4 linked regions of the Schizosaccharomyces pombe genome follow. Changing the gene in region 2 together with the main gene of any one other region gives a genetic interaction. Each region holds a gene or a part of one and is shown on either strand. Other genes may lie near its edges.

What was found.
Region 1: mutations in trm82 (region 2) and klp3 together harm fitness more than expected from each alone (negative genetic interaction), as found in Schizosaccharomyces pombe (one large-scale study listed by BioGRID).
Region 3: mutations in trm82 (region 2) and dus2 together harm fitness more than expected from each alone (negative genetic interaction), as found in Schizosaccharomyces pombe (one large-scale study listed by BioGRID).
Region 4: mutations in trm82 (region 2) and shr3 together harm fitness less than expected from each alone (positive genetic interaction), as found in Schizosaccharomyces pombe (one large-scale study listed by BioGRID).

The regions. Positions count from the first base shown.
Region 1 is NC_003424.3:4,704,770-4,709,766, forward strand, and holds klp3 (kinesin-like protein Klp3), read left to right. Parts: upstream 1-2,008; 5' UTR 2,009-2,145; coding exon 2,146-2,256; exon of another isoform or gene 2,257-2,309; coding exon 2,310-2,409; exon of another isoform or gene 2,410-2,617; coding exon 2,618-2,691; exon of another isoform or gene 2,692-2,736; coding exon 2,737-2,890; exon of another isoform or gene 2,891-2,963; coding exon 2,964-4,189; 3' UTR 4,190-4,483; downstream 4,484-4,997. Other genes in the region: mo25 family protein Pmo25, read right to left, coding at 21-455, 541-993, 1,049-1,150. UniProt on the Schizosaccharomyces pombe protein: Cytoplasmic motor that could play a role in Golgi membrane recycling.
Region 2 is NC_003421.2:1,976,558-1,980,915, reverse strand, and holds trm82 (tRNA (guanine-N7-)-methyltransferase subunit Trm82), read right to left. Parts: upstream 2,396-4,358; 5' UTR 2,022-2,395; coding exon 1,342-2,021; intron 1,269-1,341; coding exon 683-1,268; 3' UTR 551-682; downstream 1-550. Other genes in the region: rpp0 (60S ribosomal protein uL10), read left to right, coding at 135-287; rRNA processing protein Utp23, read left to right, coding at 2,615-2,702, 2,815-2,904, 3,089-3,693.
Region 3 is NC_003423.3:1,106,708-1,111,159, forward strand, and holds dus2 (tRNA dihydrouridine synthase Dus2), read left to right. Parts: upstream 1-2,000; 5' UTR 2,001-2,020; coding exon 2,021-2,189; intron 2,190-2,427; coding exon 2,428-3,077; exon of another isoform or gene 3,078-3,118; coding exon 3,119-3,739; 3' UTR 3,740-3,891; downstream 3,892-4,452. Other genes in the region: ribosome-associated molecular chaperone Sks2, read left to right, coding at 1-1,590; erg27 (3-keto sterol reductase), read left to right, coding at 4,183-4,223, 4,271-4,452. UniProt on the Schizosaccharomyces pombe protein: Catalyzes the NADPH-dependent synthesis of dihydrouridine, a modified base found in the D-loop of most tRNAs. Specifically modifies U20 in cytoplasmic tRNAs. Also able to mediate dihydrouridylation of some mRNAs, thereby affecting their translation.
Region 4 is NC_003423.3:1,173,965-1,177,674, reverse strand, and holds shr3 (chaperone protein Shr3), read left to right. Parts: upstream 1-1,761; 5' UTR 1,762-1,809; coding exon 1,810-1,920; intron 1,921-2,309; coding exon 2,310-2,846; 3' UTR 2,847-3,195; downstream 3,196-3,710. Other genes in the region: translocation subcomplex subunit Sec66, read right to left, coding at 236-814; mtx1 (metaxin 1), read left to right, coding at 3,591-3,710. UniProt on the Schizosaccharomyces pombe protein: Involved in amino acid permease processing and required for the efficient translocation of structurally related amino acid permeases from the endoplasmic reticulum to the plasma membrane.

The sequences.
Region 1 (4,997 bases), on a different chromosome or scaffold from region 2:
ACATTGGTGAGTAACAAGAGTCATAAGCGTTCAATCTGTTTTATTACAAATGCGCGTTCATCATTAAACTGCTCATCATTTTTCCGGTCAGTATGAAAAGCTGACAAGTAAGAAATCAACTTTGATTTGTTCCTCCTTAATATTTCGATTACTTCTTCCGACTTTTCAGGATTAGCAACAAACAATTTAAAAACATGAAAAGCTTCAAATTGAATGTTTTTACTCTTATCTCTCAGCAGAATCATCATTAGTTTCAGATTCTCAGCAGAACTAATATAGCGTGTCATGACTGAACGGTTAGCACGATTAAGAAGAATTTCCCCTAAAAGCTTTAAAGATTGACGTTTGGTAACATAATTTTCAGATTTCAAAAGGACAGTGTATTGCTTAAAAAACTCGTCAAAATGGTATGAAATAAACTCAGCAACTTGGGATTTATGATTAAGAAGAATAGACTGATTAAAGTTAGTAAATGCAAAACTAGCGGGAGTATATAAAAACATTGCAACGACAGAAGTTTTATTTGGGGATAATACGTACCTTAAAAGTCGAAAACGCATCACTCGCCATATCAAAACTAGAGGCTTGTATCAAACTAAAAAATGTCCAAAAATCTCGTGAGTTTAAAAGTACCTCATTAAGGGCTTCATGACGGGAACACTCACGAAGGATAGAACCAGCAGTAAAAGCTACTTCCTGGTATCGATAGTATGAGACCAATACTGGAAAGATTTGCGGGTGCGCAAGCATGTAGTCAACAGTGGGATATCTCGATGCTACATGCCTCCTAAGTAAAGCGCTAAATATTAGTCCTGTATCCTTTTTAGACTCAAACTCCAATTTCGGTAAATATCGAACGAGTAAAAAAGGTAAATTCGACTGGTAAATTTGAAAAGATAAGTCTGATACGAGATCAGCATCAGGCTCTACTTCAGCTGTCCCACACAATGAAACCCGTAAATTCTGTAAACATTTGGAAACTTCCTCAAAGGACTGTTTACGTTAGTCATCTAAACGAACAAAAACAACAATTACTAATAATTAATACCTTCTTTTTATCATTGTTTATTTCCAACTTTGGGAGATTATCACATAAGCAGCGAACAACATCTTGGGTTGATTTTGGTCGTTTATTGAACAGAAACGACATGCGGAATTATGGAATTCGGTTTCTCTAAAAACTTATGGCATATGACAGGGTAAGTAAAGTGGGTGCCAGGCGATGGTCCACAGTGGGGGTCTATTTTCATATTCAGTTGAATACTATTAAGGTACACTTCTTGAGTATTCAAATTACCTTTACTTATACCTGAAGTGATACCAATGTGGGGGTTGTTACATCTCGATTATACATAAGTAATCAAGTATTGAAACGCAGGTGCATTTAGATGATAGCAAGTGTACTAAGTAGATCTATTTATGAATTATGCATTTTCCATACCTTTTTCTCTTCGGTAAATGAATTGGTAGGTTGGTATAGCTAGTAGAAATACAAAGTAGTAAAACAAACGTTTTTTAATGCTAATGTTTGAAATAGTATCTGGGATAAACTTGTAAATTGCAAATACATCCAAATCTCCATATAAACTTCACAATTTAAAAAAATTATTTAATTTAAAAAAAAAAATAAATAAATACCTGCGAGGTTTCTCGTTCTTACCATTTAATCAAATTTTCATAAATAAATATGTGAGAAATTGCAATCCAATTTTCGTCACAGATATTAATCAGACGAAGGGTAAAATACTCTGCTTAAAATATGAATCAAGATTGAACAATCTTAAGAATTTTATACATGTGTAAATCTTCAAATAATATCAGGAAAAAAAGAATATGTAGAAGGAAGTAAACAATTTTAGCCTGTTGATTTGTAAATTTATTTTTTTTAATTCACACTTCGAGCTTTAACATTAAACAATTATGTAGTTAATTACATGATATTATTCTGTTTTTGATACGTTGCCTTAAACAACAATTATTGTAGAGGCACCATGTTAGGTTAACCTCGTCTTTCCCTGTATATGAAATTAGCCCGCTCACATATTGTCTTTAATGATTTTTTTGGATGTATGGATCTAATTTATATACTGCGTTTTAATCATACATTATTTGATTTTTTATCTTTTTATAAAGCAGTTTTACTCAATGACTTCAATTAAAGTAGTGTGCCGAATTCGGCCCACGAACCAGTTGGAACAAGACCTTGGAGGAAATAATGTGATATACCCATTAAACGATTCTACTGTTCATATCGAGGTAGGTTTCAACAATTGATCTTTACTTTAGAATTCGGCTGACATGATTAAAAGACTAGTGATTACTCAGGAAACTTTGTATTCGATCGTGTTTTTCATCCTTCTAGCACTCAGAATGATATATTTTCGTATTCAATTGAATCGACAGTCGATGGTATGTGAATGATAGTAAAACTTTACACGGCGTTGAACGGATTAATTTCATCGTTGTCAGCAACAGCTTGTATGAAATTATAGCATAGCCTTTTTTTATATGCGCTCGTTTTGACGCTTCATTTGAAACGAATTGCCATTTTAATACATTGTTCGAATCACATTCAAGTTGTTCTGAATTTCATTAAATATGTACTAATATATTATAGACTTATTCTTGGGTTATAACGGAACAGTACTAGCCTATGGACAGACAGGATCCGGCAAAACATACACCATGATGGTATATTCACAATTTCACCTGGCACACTTTTCTAACAATCTTTAGGGTATTGAAAATAATTTCGAAAAAGAAGGAATGACTCCAAGAATGCTCAGGCGTATTTTTGACAAAATCCGCGATTCACCATCTACTACTGAATACGAAGTGAAGGTATCATACATGGAAATCTACATGGAAAAAATTCATGATCTACTTTCCGGTAAGCCTTCAAATGCCGTAGAAATTTTGCGACGTTCGTATTTAATTTCAGCAAAATTAACCATGATTTACAGAAAAAAATGACAGACTGACGGTTCATGAAGATAAACTTCAGGGAGTTTATGTTCAAGGTTTAAAAACGATTTACGTATCAAGTGAAACGGAGGCATTGGATATTTTAAATAAAGGTATGGGGTCACGTGCCGTTGCAAGTACGTCGATGAATGCGCAAAGTTCACGGTCTCATTCTATTTTTGTACTCGAAGTTGTCCAAACGGACACTGAGTCCGGCGAAACTCGACGAGGCCGGTTGTTTTTAGTTGACTTGGCAGGTTCCGAAAGCGTAGGAAAAAGTGGAGCAGTCGGGCAAACCTTAGAAGAAGCAAAGAAAATAAACCGTTCTCTTTCAACTCTTGGAATGGTTATTAATTCTCTCACAGACAGCAAATTATCACATGTTCCTTATAGAGATTCCAAGTTAACGCGTATTTTAAAAGAGTCTCTTGGTGGAAATTCTCGGACCACTCTAATTATTAACTGTTCACCAGATTCATACAATGCAACAGAGACCTTATCTACTCTTAGGTTTGGACATCGTGCAAAGAGCATCAAAAACAAAGCGGTAGTAAACTCAGAACTTTCTGTTGATGAAATGAAAAGACAGCTGTATATTTATAAAGATGCTTTGTCTCGTTGCGTTTGTGGAGCCAGAATTAACAATAACTTAGACTATAATAATTGTCATTCTAACGTATGGTCAGGCGAGCATTCCCTCACACTGTCAAATCTCGCCGAAAAATCCAACTTAAAGGAAGCAGAAATCATTCAAGGAAATAGAACAATTCAGGAAAGTAATAATGACAGAGACGAAAGCACAGTTGCTTCGATACACAGACATAACTTTGATTCTGATTCTATCAATCGTTTGTATGCTGAAGCACAACTTGAACTTAAACAACGAGATGGTGTTTTATCATCCACTAAACAGCAATTGTCAGACCTTATGACTGCATTGGGCGATGCTCAGGAGCGGTATGTTGAGCTTGTTAAAAACCACAGAGTAAATTCAAATCTTACTGCAAACAACTCATTAAATGACAAACCGGGTTTTACAATAGAACAGAAAGATAAAAATTTTTCGATAAATAACGAGAGAAACAATTTTTTACAAAAACTGAGTACTTTGGATTCCTCACTGGCTGCTCTAGTAAATGTTCAACGAAAATTGATTAAAGCTTTAATTTCCAAAGAGCGACCTCAAAATGGAACAGTAATTAAGAAAATTCAAGGGGGCACTTAAAAGCTACACTTTTTTACTCTGCTTTGCGAAGGATTATATATGTTTAATTAATTTCTTTAGAGTTGTTGAGCTCACATTTAATCATGAAATATTGCATCTCGTCTAGCTGCTTTCTGAATAAACTAATTTTCTGACTAATTATTTATGCAGCTTCTTTTATATTGCTGCAGCATTATAATATAAAAGAAAACAGCTACGCAGCAATGCATTGTTTATATGCTTATTCAGCAAATGTGTAACATCTCAAATGATGATGTAATAACAATTCAATAAAAATTTACCGTTATAATATAATCAGCGAATTTAGTAATCTGAGACTACTATTCTTTAGCAAGGATTGACTATTGGCTAAGCAATCATTACCTTTTTTAAGCTACAACGAACTGTAGTTTAAGTGTTACTTGCGATGTATATAATCTTATGTAGGATGTTTATCGTAGATGGTAAAATGTTGTATCAATATAATTATGATATTGAATACACTAACATAACCACACATATATGGCTTATAACTGAAGTCAGGAAAGAAGGTTTGAATGTATCAACATAATGCATTGTTATAAAACTACTAGTATAGAAGATTTACACTAAGGATGGAAATACGGAGAATCATGAATATTATGAAAAGTTGAACTAACGCAGCACAGTATAGTGTAGTGACTTGTTTCTAACAGAACGATCATATTTACTAGCCACCAATCTTCGCTAAACAACATTTACGCGATCTTCAATATCCATTTACATTTTGCTAACACAACTTGTTGAGTTGTTTCATTTCCCTATTTCGAACACTTTTTACCAATCTTCA
Region 2 (4,358 bases):
GGATTATTTTAACTCGCTAAATTTTCATGAGCGCAAAGTTTAAACACTCTAATTTTTTGCTGAACGCTTGTATACAATTAAACTCTTTGAATCATTAAATTATTTTTGTACTCAGTTCACTAACTTTATTTTAGACTAAGGCTTTCCTTGCTGATCCCTCTGCTTTCGTAGTCGCCGCTGCTCCTGCTGCTGCTGCTGGTGGTGAAGCTGAGGCACCCGCTGCCGAGGCTGCTGCTGAAGAGGAAGAGGAATCCGATGAGGACATGGGTTTCGGTCTCTTCGACTAAGCTTTTTTTGTTAGATAGCACTAATGGATGTATCTCGTGTTCTTTAGGCCTTCTAAAAACAATTTGCCGTTGCAAGTATTATGTAAAGTATTGTCGTAGCATGTAAATGGAAGGAATTGAATAAACGATTAATTTTACTTCTTCAAATTGCTGACGTTGCACAACTGAATAGCAGTTGCACTTATGCAGTAGATACAAGTTGCGTTTATTCGCATAATTATTAATCGCTGACTGTATTTATACTTCAAAATTCTGGGTTTCTCCAAAGAAATTAAATGCTCTCCCTATTATACTTTAATGTCACAATCATTTTTATTCATATCTATTTTCCATATTTACTGATGCTCCCACTTTTCCCAATTATTTTTTTTGAGCCGGTCTCCCTAAAATGAGCTTTAATTATCTTTAGATTCAACGGATGGCGAAGATGTACCGGTTTCAACACTGCGAATGAATTTAGAGTGGTTCTTGCGTAATGTGTGAATTTGAGCGAGCGGGCAGAACGGCTTTTCGGTTGATATTAAACCATCAGATTCTATACGCTTTATTACATCGGGTTTCGTAAGAACAGCCGCATTCCCTTCATCAAATTTCACGCATTCAAAACATGCACCAAATGTAAAACTAGAGTCCAAAGAAATGAGAATTTGATCAGTATCCGTGTCAAGCAAAACAGCGTCAAGAACAGGCCCTGACAGCTTCAAAGCAGAATGAAACAACAGTCTCTTTTCAGGTGTCACCTTCGCGAAGATAAGACCCGCCATTCCTTCACACGCAAAAGCAACAAGCTGGCGCTTAAAAATAGGAAGAATAACTGAAACCACCATTGGTTGATTTAATGAGAGATAAGTGGAAAAGGCAGATCGTAGATCGAATGCATCCAAACATTTGAAATTCTCTAAATCCCATACGAAAACGTGATTATCTCCACCGCCAGATATTAGAGTACGATTGTCATATAAGGACATCCTAGATACAAAACTAGGAAAAGGCGTTAGTGTTATTTAAAAAAAAAAAAAAAAAATTGATCAACTAAAACCAAATGAAAACTTACTCTTCATGACCTAAGCAAAACCCTTCAATGACAAATGCATTGGGAAATCGGGAAATACGAATATGCTCGTCTTTATCTGAAGTAATGATTATTTCTTCTTTAGAATTTTGTGGATTTTGAGCAACTATTAATTGAGTTAAGATCGAAACATGCCCCATAATGGGTTCGAGTTTTTGCAATTTCGAATCCTTTAAAGTGTCATTATTAACAGGTTCTTGTTTTCCTTCAACCACATTTGACTTTTTTTCTTCGGTAACTTCAGAAGTAGTAAACCAATTTTCGTCTACACAATAGACATCACCAAACTTATCACCAAAAACAATTTCGTTTGAGCCCGCAAAGCACAAGTCAGCACATCGCTTTGGTATGTTTTTTTGATAAAGAAGTTCAATTTTATCAGGCTGAGTGCTATCCCAAAGGCGCAAACATTTGTCTTCACTAACTGTTGCCATACGAGAATAGTCTTTAGAAAATGCGACTTGACGAATCGCTTCTCCATAGGCAGCTGCCTCTCTATGTTTTTCATTTATATTGTCTCTATAACAATGTTCAAAAATTTTTTCCCCTGTAGAGCATGAGAACCCCAATAGATATGGACCTGAACAGCACACGATGTAATTGTGTTTAGAATTCCATGTTAAAAATTGACAAGGGTGCTTAAAAACTCGCTGTTCACTCATGTTTTTATTGATTGATTCTTAAGAAAATAGAAGCAACAAAACAAACACTTCAGAAATAAACCTCTAATTTTTGGATCCGAATATATTTACAATTTTATAAAAAGAAGAAAAAGAAGCTTTAGAAGAAAGAAAGTAATAATGACAAATCTTTCAAATAATAAAAAGCAAAGCTTTAAAATTATTTACGCAGTAGAAATGAAGAAAAAGTATGATAAGGGTAAATAATAGACTGAATCCTCTTTCTGCTTAATACCGTTTCCTTACAAATTTATCTAAATAGAGAAATAAAAGAAGTATACACTCAGTTCGAAGCCAAGTATCTCACTTAAGTTAAATAGTTAAAGCGCCCAAAATTTTAGTACGTGGGTGAACTTGGAAAGTACAAACTAGTTGGAAATTTCCTAATAAGAGGATTTCAGCAATATTAGGGTTCCTGGATACTTCTTTTAATACGATTGAATTTATTTTTTTAATATTTCTAATAGTAACAAAAGACTTTTCGTTTTTGAGCGAAAAAAAAAATTCTTAAAAAAACAAGTGATCTAAAGCATATTAAGTCTTAGGCTGTGTGACGCACAGAAAAGGGCGTAAATATGAGGCAAAAAAGGGCAAAGAATTACAGAAAGCTGATGCATACGTATCAGCTTTTATTTGGATTTCGTGAACCATATCAAGTACTCGGTATGTGGTACAGAAAATGATGCTTGTAAAGATGCATCCTTACCCAAGTTCTAATTTGCAAACAATAAGCATTTTCTTTTTGGTGATGTTATTAAACTAACATGATTTTTAGTGGATGCAGATTTCCTAAAAGATTTATCTCAACAAAAGATTGATATACAAGCTGCATTAGCTAGGACTGTTCAAGGAGCTATAAAACCTAGTAAGTTTTGTTTATAAGTGTTTTCTTTTACTGGAAAAAAGGGCGAACCCCCGGAATATGAAACAGAACGGAAAGTTTAATTATTCAACATAGTATCTTTTCATCCGGGTCTGGTTTATTATTTTCTTTCCTTATGTTCTCCTTGTAAATTATTATAACTAACGGATTTACTAACTGACTATAGTGATTACTCAATGTTGTATTCGGCAATTGTACAGTAAATCCGATGAATTGAAGCAAGAAATTCGTATCGCAAAGTCTTTTGAGCGAAGGAGGTGTGGTCATATTGATGAAGCACTCTCTCCTTCAGAATGTATTCAGAGTGTAGTCAACATTAATGGTCGGAACAAGCACCGCTATGTTGTTGCTACCCAAGACCCCGAGCTTAGGCAAGCTCTTCGTTCGGTCCCAGGTGTTCCACTTATATATATGAAAAGGTCAGTTGTGATACTAGAACCAGCTTCACGAGCTACGTTATTAGAAAAGCACAACAAAGAATCCGTTCAGATGGGCATGTCAAAAGAGGAAAAGTTGTTATTATCCGGAAAAAAGCGTTCAGCGAATGAACTGGCTATCGATGATCAAGATACCAAGGAAAGTACGGATTTAGCGGGAACAGAGGATTCTGCTCCAAAAGCCAATAAAAAACGCAAGGGTCCTAAAGGGCCTAACCCTTTAAGCATCAAAAAGAGATCATCAAAAAACCATACAACGGATGAACCTACTTTACCTGTAAACATAATAGGTGATGTTGGTGAAAGAAAAAAACATCGTCGGAAAAGAAAGTAGACTGCTTATTGTTGGAAATTAGCATATGTATATATTTAAAAATAAAATTTTTCGGGATAGGTTTGCCTACAAGTGTTGTCTACTAATATAACGCTATCATACATACAATGTTTCTGATTCAACCCTTCCTGTGTAAACAATACTTTCAACTAACGCTTGTGGCTAAAGAAACGAAGAAAAAAAATTGGGTATAGGCACAATGTAAATATTTACGATGTAATCATCACAAATGTAAAGTTGTAAACCATTTTTCATCTAGATTCAAAGTCGTTTAAAGCGAAAGAGAAAAGGAAGCAATTATCCAAGCGACCTAAAAAAGCAGTTTCAACCAAATTTAGCTTAAAGAGAAAATTGAAATTTTTATTCGACTAAATAAAAGGTTAGATTATCTTAAAAAGATTTCAATCGTTGATATATTAGGGGAGAAACTGTAAGCCCAGTTGTGAATGCTAACGTATTTCAGTAAAAAAAATATCGCAGTTTACTGGCCTAAATACATACTTTGCTAACAGTTTTCTATTAACCCAACAGGACCTTAAATCTCTGCATTCTTTGTATTGAAAAGATCATACTGTTCGTGGATTTGCGCGTTTATGTAACGTTAAACTCGAATAATTTGCATTTGGCGGTCATTTTCGTTCTTGCGATTGATACAGATTCTGAGC
Region 3 (4,452 bases), on a different chromosome or scaffold from region 2:
ACTCAAAAGGATATTAAGCACTGGCCCTTTAAGGTTATTGACAACAATGGTATCCCTACCATTGAGGTTAACTATTTGGGCGAGAAAAAGCAATTTACTGCTCAAGAAATTTCCGCTATGGTTTTGACTAAGATGAAGGAGATTTCCGAAGCTAAGTTGAACAAGCGTGTCGAGAAGGCTGTCATTACCGTCCCCGCCTACTTCTCTGACTCTCAACGTGCTGCTACTAAGGATGCTGGTGCCATCGCTGGCCTTAACGTTCTTCGTATCATCAACGAGCCCACCGCTGCTGCTATTGCTTACGGTCTTGATGCCAAGTCCGACAAGCCCAAAAACGTCTTGATTTTCGATCTTGGTGGTGGTACTTTTGATGTTTCTCTTTTGAAGATTCAAGGTGGTGTCTTTGAAGTTTTGGCTACCGCTGGTGACACTCACTTGGGTGGTGAAGATTTTGATAACGCTTTGGTCGAGCACTTTATTCAAGAATTCAAGCGCAAGCAAAAGATTGACATCTCTGACGATCCTCGTGCTCTTCGTCGTCTTCGCTCTGCTTGTGAGCGTGCTAAGCGTGCCTTGTCTTCTGTTACTCAAACCACCGTTGAGGTCGACTCTCTTTCCAACGGTATCGACTTCTCTTCTAGCATTACCCGTGCTCGTTTCGAGGACATCAACGCTACCACATTCAAGGCTACCATTGATCCAGTCGCTAAGGTCTTGAAGGACTCCAAGGTCCCTAAGGCTGATGTTCACGACATTGTCCTTGTCGGTGGTTCCACCCGTATTCCCAAGGTTCAAAGACTCGTTTCTGATTTCTTTGATGGCCGTGCTTTGAACAAGTCTATCAACCCCGATGAGGCTGTCGCCTACGGTGCTGCTGTTCAAGCCGCTGTCCTCACCAACAAGGCTGACTCTGACAAAACTCAAGATTTGCTTTTGTTGGATGTTGTCCCCCTTTCCTTGGGTGTTGCCATGGAAGGTAATGTTTTCGGTGTTGTTTGCCCTCGCAATACTCCCATTCCTACCATCAAGAAGCGTACTTTCACCACTGTTGCTGACAACCAAACCACCGTTACTTTCCCTGTTTACCAAGGTGAACGTGTCAACTGTGCTGAAAACGAACCTCTTGGTGAGTTCCAACTTACTGGTATCCCTCCTATGCCCCGTGGTCAAGCTGAGTTGGAAGCTACTTTCGAGTTGGATGCCAATGGTATCTTGAAGGTTACCGCTGTTGAAAAGACCACTGGTCGCTCTGCTCACATTGAAATCACCAACTCTGTTGGTCATCTTTCTTCCACTAAGATTCAAGAGATGATTGAAAACGCTGACAAGTTCAAGCAACAAGACAAGGATTTCGCCAAGAAATTAGAGGCTAAGAGCCAACTCGAATCTTACATTTCTAACATTGAGACTACCATCTCTGAGCCCAATGTCATGATGAAATTGAAGCGTGGTGACAAGTCTAAGATTGAAGCCCAATTGGCTGAGTGCATGTCTCAATTAGAACTTGAGGACACTAACACTGATGCTCTCCGTAAGGCTGAGCTTCGTCTTAAGCGTACCGTTCAAAAGGCCTTTGCATCCCTTCGTTAGATAAGCTAAACAACATGAATTAAGCTTTCGAAGGATTTGTTCATATGCAATTATTGATATCATATAGATACATTATCTAGGACTACCAAAATGTAATTATTACTCGGATATGTACGTTTATTTGTAATTTGAAAGGCAGCATAATTTGAGTGCCTCAAGGCTGGGATAGGTTTGATACTTAAATAAGAGAATCGTTAATTGTGTCCGAATAACACGCTGTAGAAGTAAGTAGAATTTGATTGAGAATCGCTTTTAAAATAGTAGCCCTTAGCTTCGCAAAGATGACTTTTGAGTGTTTTCTATATGTACGGAAGGTTTTCTGTTTGAGCAGAAAATTTGGTGGTGACAATTACCCTGTTGGCCACGCTTAAGTTGCTTGCAATTTTCTAAGCTCACAGAGTTTTCCTTTCGATTAACCTCCCTTCTTGTCATGGGTCTGCTAAATTATAGCAATAAAGTATGTCTAGCTCCCATGGTTAGGATTGGGGAACTTCCCATGAGGTTATTAGCACTTCGATATGGCGCTAATCTAGTATGGGGGCCAGAAATTGTGGATAAAGCTCTTCTGAGTGGAACACCTGTAGAAAGAGTCGTAAATGGTATGTGTTAGTATGAATTACAATTTTAGAAGAAAGATGAGGATTAAATCGATATTGGTTGCTCGTGTAATTACATTGTTCACCCATGCACTTTCGTTTTTCAATACTATATTTGATGAATTATTTTTTTTATTAACTCGTGTAATTACATTTTTTGACATTTATTTAATTGAAAAACAAATTTCTTCTTCCTAATTGTGTTATTTTATTCAGTTATTATTGACTCAATTTAAAATAGATAGGATCAATTGCATCGATTTTGTTAAACCACCTAGCAATAAGGTGTTGTTTCGTGTGCATCCGCTTGAAGCTAATCGATTGATTTTTCAACTCGGAAGTGCATCCCCAGAACTTGCAGTGGAAGCAGCAAAACTTGTAGCTAATGATGTTGCAGGCATTGACTTAAACTGTGGTTGCCCCAAACATTTTTCTGTACATGCTGGAATGGGAGCTGGCCTTTTGAAAAATCAAGATCGTCTAGTCAGTATTCTCGATGCTCTAGTGAATGAGATCGGGAAGCCTTACAAAATTTCCATAAGTTGTAAAATTCGTTTATTAGAGACAAAAGAAGATACCCTAAAATTGGTAGAGCGCATATGCGATACAGGAGTTCGAGCAATCACTGTTCATTGCCGTACAACTCCAATGCGAAATACTGAGCCTGCAGATCGTAGTTATTTATCGGAAATTGTAGGCGTCTGTCGAAATAAAGATGTTTCGATCTTAGTAAATGGGGATGTCTTAAGCTATAATGATGGATTGGATGTTATTGAGAAATATGGAGTCGACGGTGTGCTTATCGCCAGAGCTGCTGAAAGGAACGTATCCTGTTTTCGAATAGAGGGCCCACTTTCTAGTTTTAAGGTTGCCGAGGAGTTTTTGAAAATGGTTTGTACTTTGCTTGTTTATTCATTACTAATTGTTGATAGGCTCTTGAGGTTGATAATAATTTTGGGAATACTAAATATTGTTTAAATCAAATCATGCAGGGTTCATTTCGGAAAAATGTTCGACAACTCGCTCAGACTGCTAAAACTTATGAAGACTTGAAGAAGGCATTTGAGATCGAATACAAGCATTCGGATGCTTCATCGGTCTGCCCTACTTTAGAAAAAGAAAAATCATTGGTTATATCTTTTGTAGATTTGCCCAGTTTTTTGGAGTCTTTATTAGCGTCCAATATTTTAAAGCAACTAAGTAGGCTTCATTTCACAAAAATCTTTGCAGTAAGTGAAGAGGAAGATATTTGCAAGCAGCTAGACGATATTCATGAGAAGTTTTTGTGCCACGGAATTGCACTTTCTTTAATTTCAGCTGATAACCTAGCTTCTGCAATCGCTAGTGCTCATCTGGTCATATGCATGGAAAAAGACGAATCTATTATGAATGAGGCTGTATGCGATCAAAAAATAACTATTCGTTTGCCGATCAATTCCAATACGAATGAAGCTGTAGTGGAATGTGAAAATAAGTCAATGCAAAGCAAACATGCATTGGATATAATTCAAGAAAGGATAAAGGATTTAGAAGAGAAAGCTCAAGTCGTTTAGTTTTTCGTGTAGTTAAAAAGTTTTTGTATAGTTTTGAAGTACTTACTGAGCATGTTTGGTTAATGAAAATTATTCTTATATCTTTTCGCTGCTTTGGTAAAGTTGAAGCATGGATTCTATCGTCTCCCATAAATGAAAAAAGCATTTTTTATTAGAATTATTATTGAGTTGAATCCAAAAATTTAATTGCTATTATTTAGGAAACAGAGTGTTTTGAGAGCTTTGTTATATTAAATTGAATGACGATCAAATACAAGCTAGTACAGAAATACTTATGGTTAATTGAATTTTGAATGATATTTTTTCTACCAATTTATTAATAAATTTTTTGAAAGAAGATAAAGTAGCTAAATACTTCGACGTGTAATTTCGAACGTATACTACATAGCTGACCAGGGTAGATATCAAACGATTTTTACTACTACCATTGTAAAGCCCTAACAATGAGTTTTCGTAAATATGCCTTAATTACCGGCTCCAACAGGTAAAATATTATTAAGATATCTAGAGCAACACAGTTAATGATTACAGTGGTCTTGGTTTTGGAATAGCTACGCGTCTTTTGCAGTTCTACCAACCGCGTTTGCAAGATGAACCCGAAGTATTCACGGTAATTCTTACATGCAGGAGTCGTGAAAAGGCAGAAGATGCCTGTAGAAGATTGAAAGAATTCTTTCCCGATAGGAAAATACGGTTGGAATACGTTTTGTTAG
Region 4 (3,710 bases), on a different chromosome or scaffold from region 2:
GAATAGGAAAAAAGTATGACTTTCAATATAAAGGTAAGGACAGTGATAAAGCAAGCCCCCTTTATGGAGTCTATTACTGAATTTGATTTATGAATGAGTTCTAAGGATTATTGTATAAAATAGGAATTTTAGTTTCAAAGAAAGAAAAAGATAAGAAAACGTAAAACATCAGATGCAAGAAAGAAACAGGAAAAAAAGAATAAAGGCACATACGAACATCTTTTTTTAAAACAATTTATAGCACTCCAAGTTCTTTTTGGGCTTGAATACGCAATTCCTCATCAGCGGCTTCATACAGAATTTTTTCGGTTTGCCAACGTTGCGAAATAGAATCAATGTCCTTGGGAATATTATCAATTATGCTGTGAATTTTTTCGTTTTCAATTATTTCATTGCAAGTTTGGAATATAAACTGATTCCATCCAGGCTGCAATGAATTGGCAGTTTTGGCAATATCCATCAACTCCAATTCAGTTTCCTTTTCCAAACGACCAAACTTACGAATTAGCTCGTCACCAACGCCGCCGCGGTTGAGCAAATTATTCAATGCCATTCTCGATACTTTAAGCTTCATCAATCGACGAAGACCTTCTGTAGCCCGTAAAACGAGAGCAGCTTTCAAAAGTGTATCCTCGGCAGGTGGATTCTGCTGCAAAAGACTGAAAAATATATTTCTAGAATAATTTTCTCCAAACCATTCTTCTGATACTGGTTTTGATTCCTGATTTTTGGATTTTCGCACAAAACGAGAAACTCCATACATAGAGCCCATTAAAATGGTAATATATATCAAGGGAACGTAAATCGACACCATATTGAATTAATTAACACGGCCAAGTATGTAAAGCAAGCAGGGACCTTTTTCTTTAACAACTCGTATACCCTTTTTGTATTATTTGTTTTTTGCAGAGTGGACTGCAAATATGTATATGAGATATAACTTCGAGACCAAATGAATGCAAGACCAGTTTAGGTGTGAAAGGAGAATAGTGTGTTTTCTGGAATGCTTTATATTTTATAAGGTTGATGTAATTTTCTGTTATTTGTAGATAAGAGATATTTATGTTTTCTTAAAGACGCTAAAATATTTTACGCGATGCGCTATTAGATAAACAAATCGATCGGATATTGTTCAATTGTTTGTTTAAACTCAGGTAAAAGTTTTTAGAATTAGAAATGAAAAAAATTTACTAATAGGGAACTAGGATAATAAACAATTGAGCATTTTAGAAACAGATTTTGCGACCATTGTGAAAACTGACGAAACATATAGTTAGGAAGACAAAAACACCTCATTTATGAAATTATTTCTTTTTTTCAAGTATACAAAGGATCTTTGTATGTTCTTCTATATTGTTTCTGTAGTTTTATTAGTATTTTTACATATCGAGGCATTGGCATTCATTTGTTTTATTTACAGCCAATTAATAAATTCCCTTATTTTGATATAAGCTTTACAGTCTCGCTTAACTTGAAAACGCTATGATGTTGTGTATTCAGTTACAATAAATAGTGACATACAATAGTCGCTCAAATATATCTGGTTATATTTTATATTAAATAATTTTGCCAACTGATTTATCTTGGGTTGATTTTTCTTATTCGTGAGATTTAGATAGCCGTTCATGATGTTTTTCTGCATACAATGCATATTAGTGGAAAATGCGTTCGATTTCCTTATACTCATACAATCCTTTAGACCGTCGAAAGCGGAGTGGTATCACTTTGGTATAAAAAGGTAGTCTTAATTAACCTACCACTAACGTATATTTTCATTAACAAAAAAAAAGTTTATTATCATTATTCAAGATGGCTAAAAGATCCATATTTCGTTTTGCTGATGAAAAGGGCTTGAAGGTCGCTGCCCGTTATGGAGTCCTTATGTCAACTAGTTTTATTTTTGCTTTACTTTTCCACAGCGTATGTTCCAATCAAATTTCTATTTTATTCTAAGATTATTCATTTGAAAATCAACTTTCATTTGATATCAATTTCGTTTAGCTTTTGGAGACAAAGGGAGCAGAATATGAGAAATTATAAGTCGGTACTTTGAGTGAATTCTGAATTTGTTTTACAAAACATGCATTGTTAAAATAAATCTGGAAAATTATTTTATCAGGAACGTTTCTAAAAAGGAGCTTTTTGTCTGTTTAAGTTTTCATAATCGGATACGAGCATTCATCTTACCGCTCAATGTTTGCCGCGCTGCTCATTTTTCTGTTGTTCTTATGTTTTTGGAGCTTCACTTCGAATTGATTACTTTGTTCATAGTCTTTATTTTCTTAGCATAAATTACTAATGTCATTTAGAGCGTTGCCGATGTGAATACCTTATGGAGTCCTGGCCCTGAGTCTGCTTTCGATGCTGCTGAAACTTACTATACTTTGGTGGCTGGATCCCATTTCATTGTAAAATATACTGTATATACCATCATGGGACTTAATATGATTTTCCATCTTATTCAAGCCACTGGCGCTAAAGGTGATGACAAATTGTTCTTTTACTCTAGCACGCTTCTTTATCTTACTGCACTAATTTTGTTTATTGTTAATGTTGCTCCTTCTATGTTGGTTGTTAAGCTACAGAATTATGTTCAATTCCCACGAAATATGCACTTGTCCGTTCTTGCTGCTTCTCATGTTCTTGTTGAATTTCTTCTTGCTGGTGTCATTCTTATTCAACTTGGATACGTTTTCGGATATCATGTTCAAAGTATCCAGCAGCGCGAATACGCTGAAGATATGAGGGAGCAAGAATTAGCTGAAAAGGCTAAATTGGAATCCGAGTCTGCTACTACTCAGAGTGTAGAAACTGTTTCCACCGAATCTGTTTCAAAGCGCAAGTAAACAAACCACTTGGGTCTAATTTTACAACTTTTGGAATAGAGTGAACTATTTTATATCTTGCTAATTATTGTTGCTAGTCCGTCATCAACTCTTTGACGCAAAGTTTATGTCTAACTAGAAAGCAAAGAGTGACTTGCATTGACGGTAACTGGGAAAGCTTACATGTGTATTCATACGTACAATTATATATATACAAGATTTATACTGTCTTATATAAGAAATAAATTGACTTGAATTTTCGATAGAGGAATAGTTCGTTATGTTTGGATTTAGAATAGTCTTTAGCACACTTATACTTCTTAATAATTAAATATGTACTCATTGTGCAAAAAGGATTATCACAAGTGAAGCTTTTGTGAGATTGTATATTCTTCTATACTATGGATGCATAAACAAAGTCTCATTTTAGATGGGTTTTACGCTGCAGATACAGCAGAAGCGCCATACAAATATACTAAGTAAAATCTCAAAGTTCAAATGCTCAATCGATTTATTGTGCTAATTATCGATGTTTAATTCACTTTTTAACAACTAATAAATAGGTAACAATGTTACTTGTTCGTATAGCTTACTTGACTGCATAGCATCAGAATGATAATTGTAACTAGCTTCAGCGAATTTGGTAAGTTGGACTAGTTGGTTAGTTATTACCTTTTTTTTCTTTCTTCTGTGTTTCTCTAATCTCAACCCTACTGTAGACGGTAACTTTTTCAATTCATTCGTTCGGGTCATTTTTTGATCAAAATGTTGCAACTTTTCATTTATAGCCCAGGACTTGGGCAACCAACGATGGATCCTGGATGCTTAGCGGCATTAATTTATTGCGCACTTGCCGTCCCAAAGGACGAAATTGAAATTCTTCGC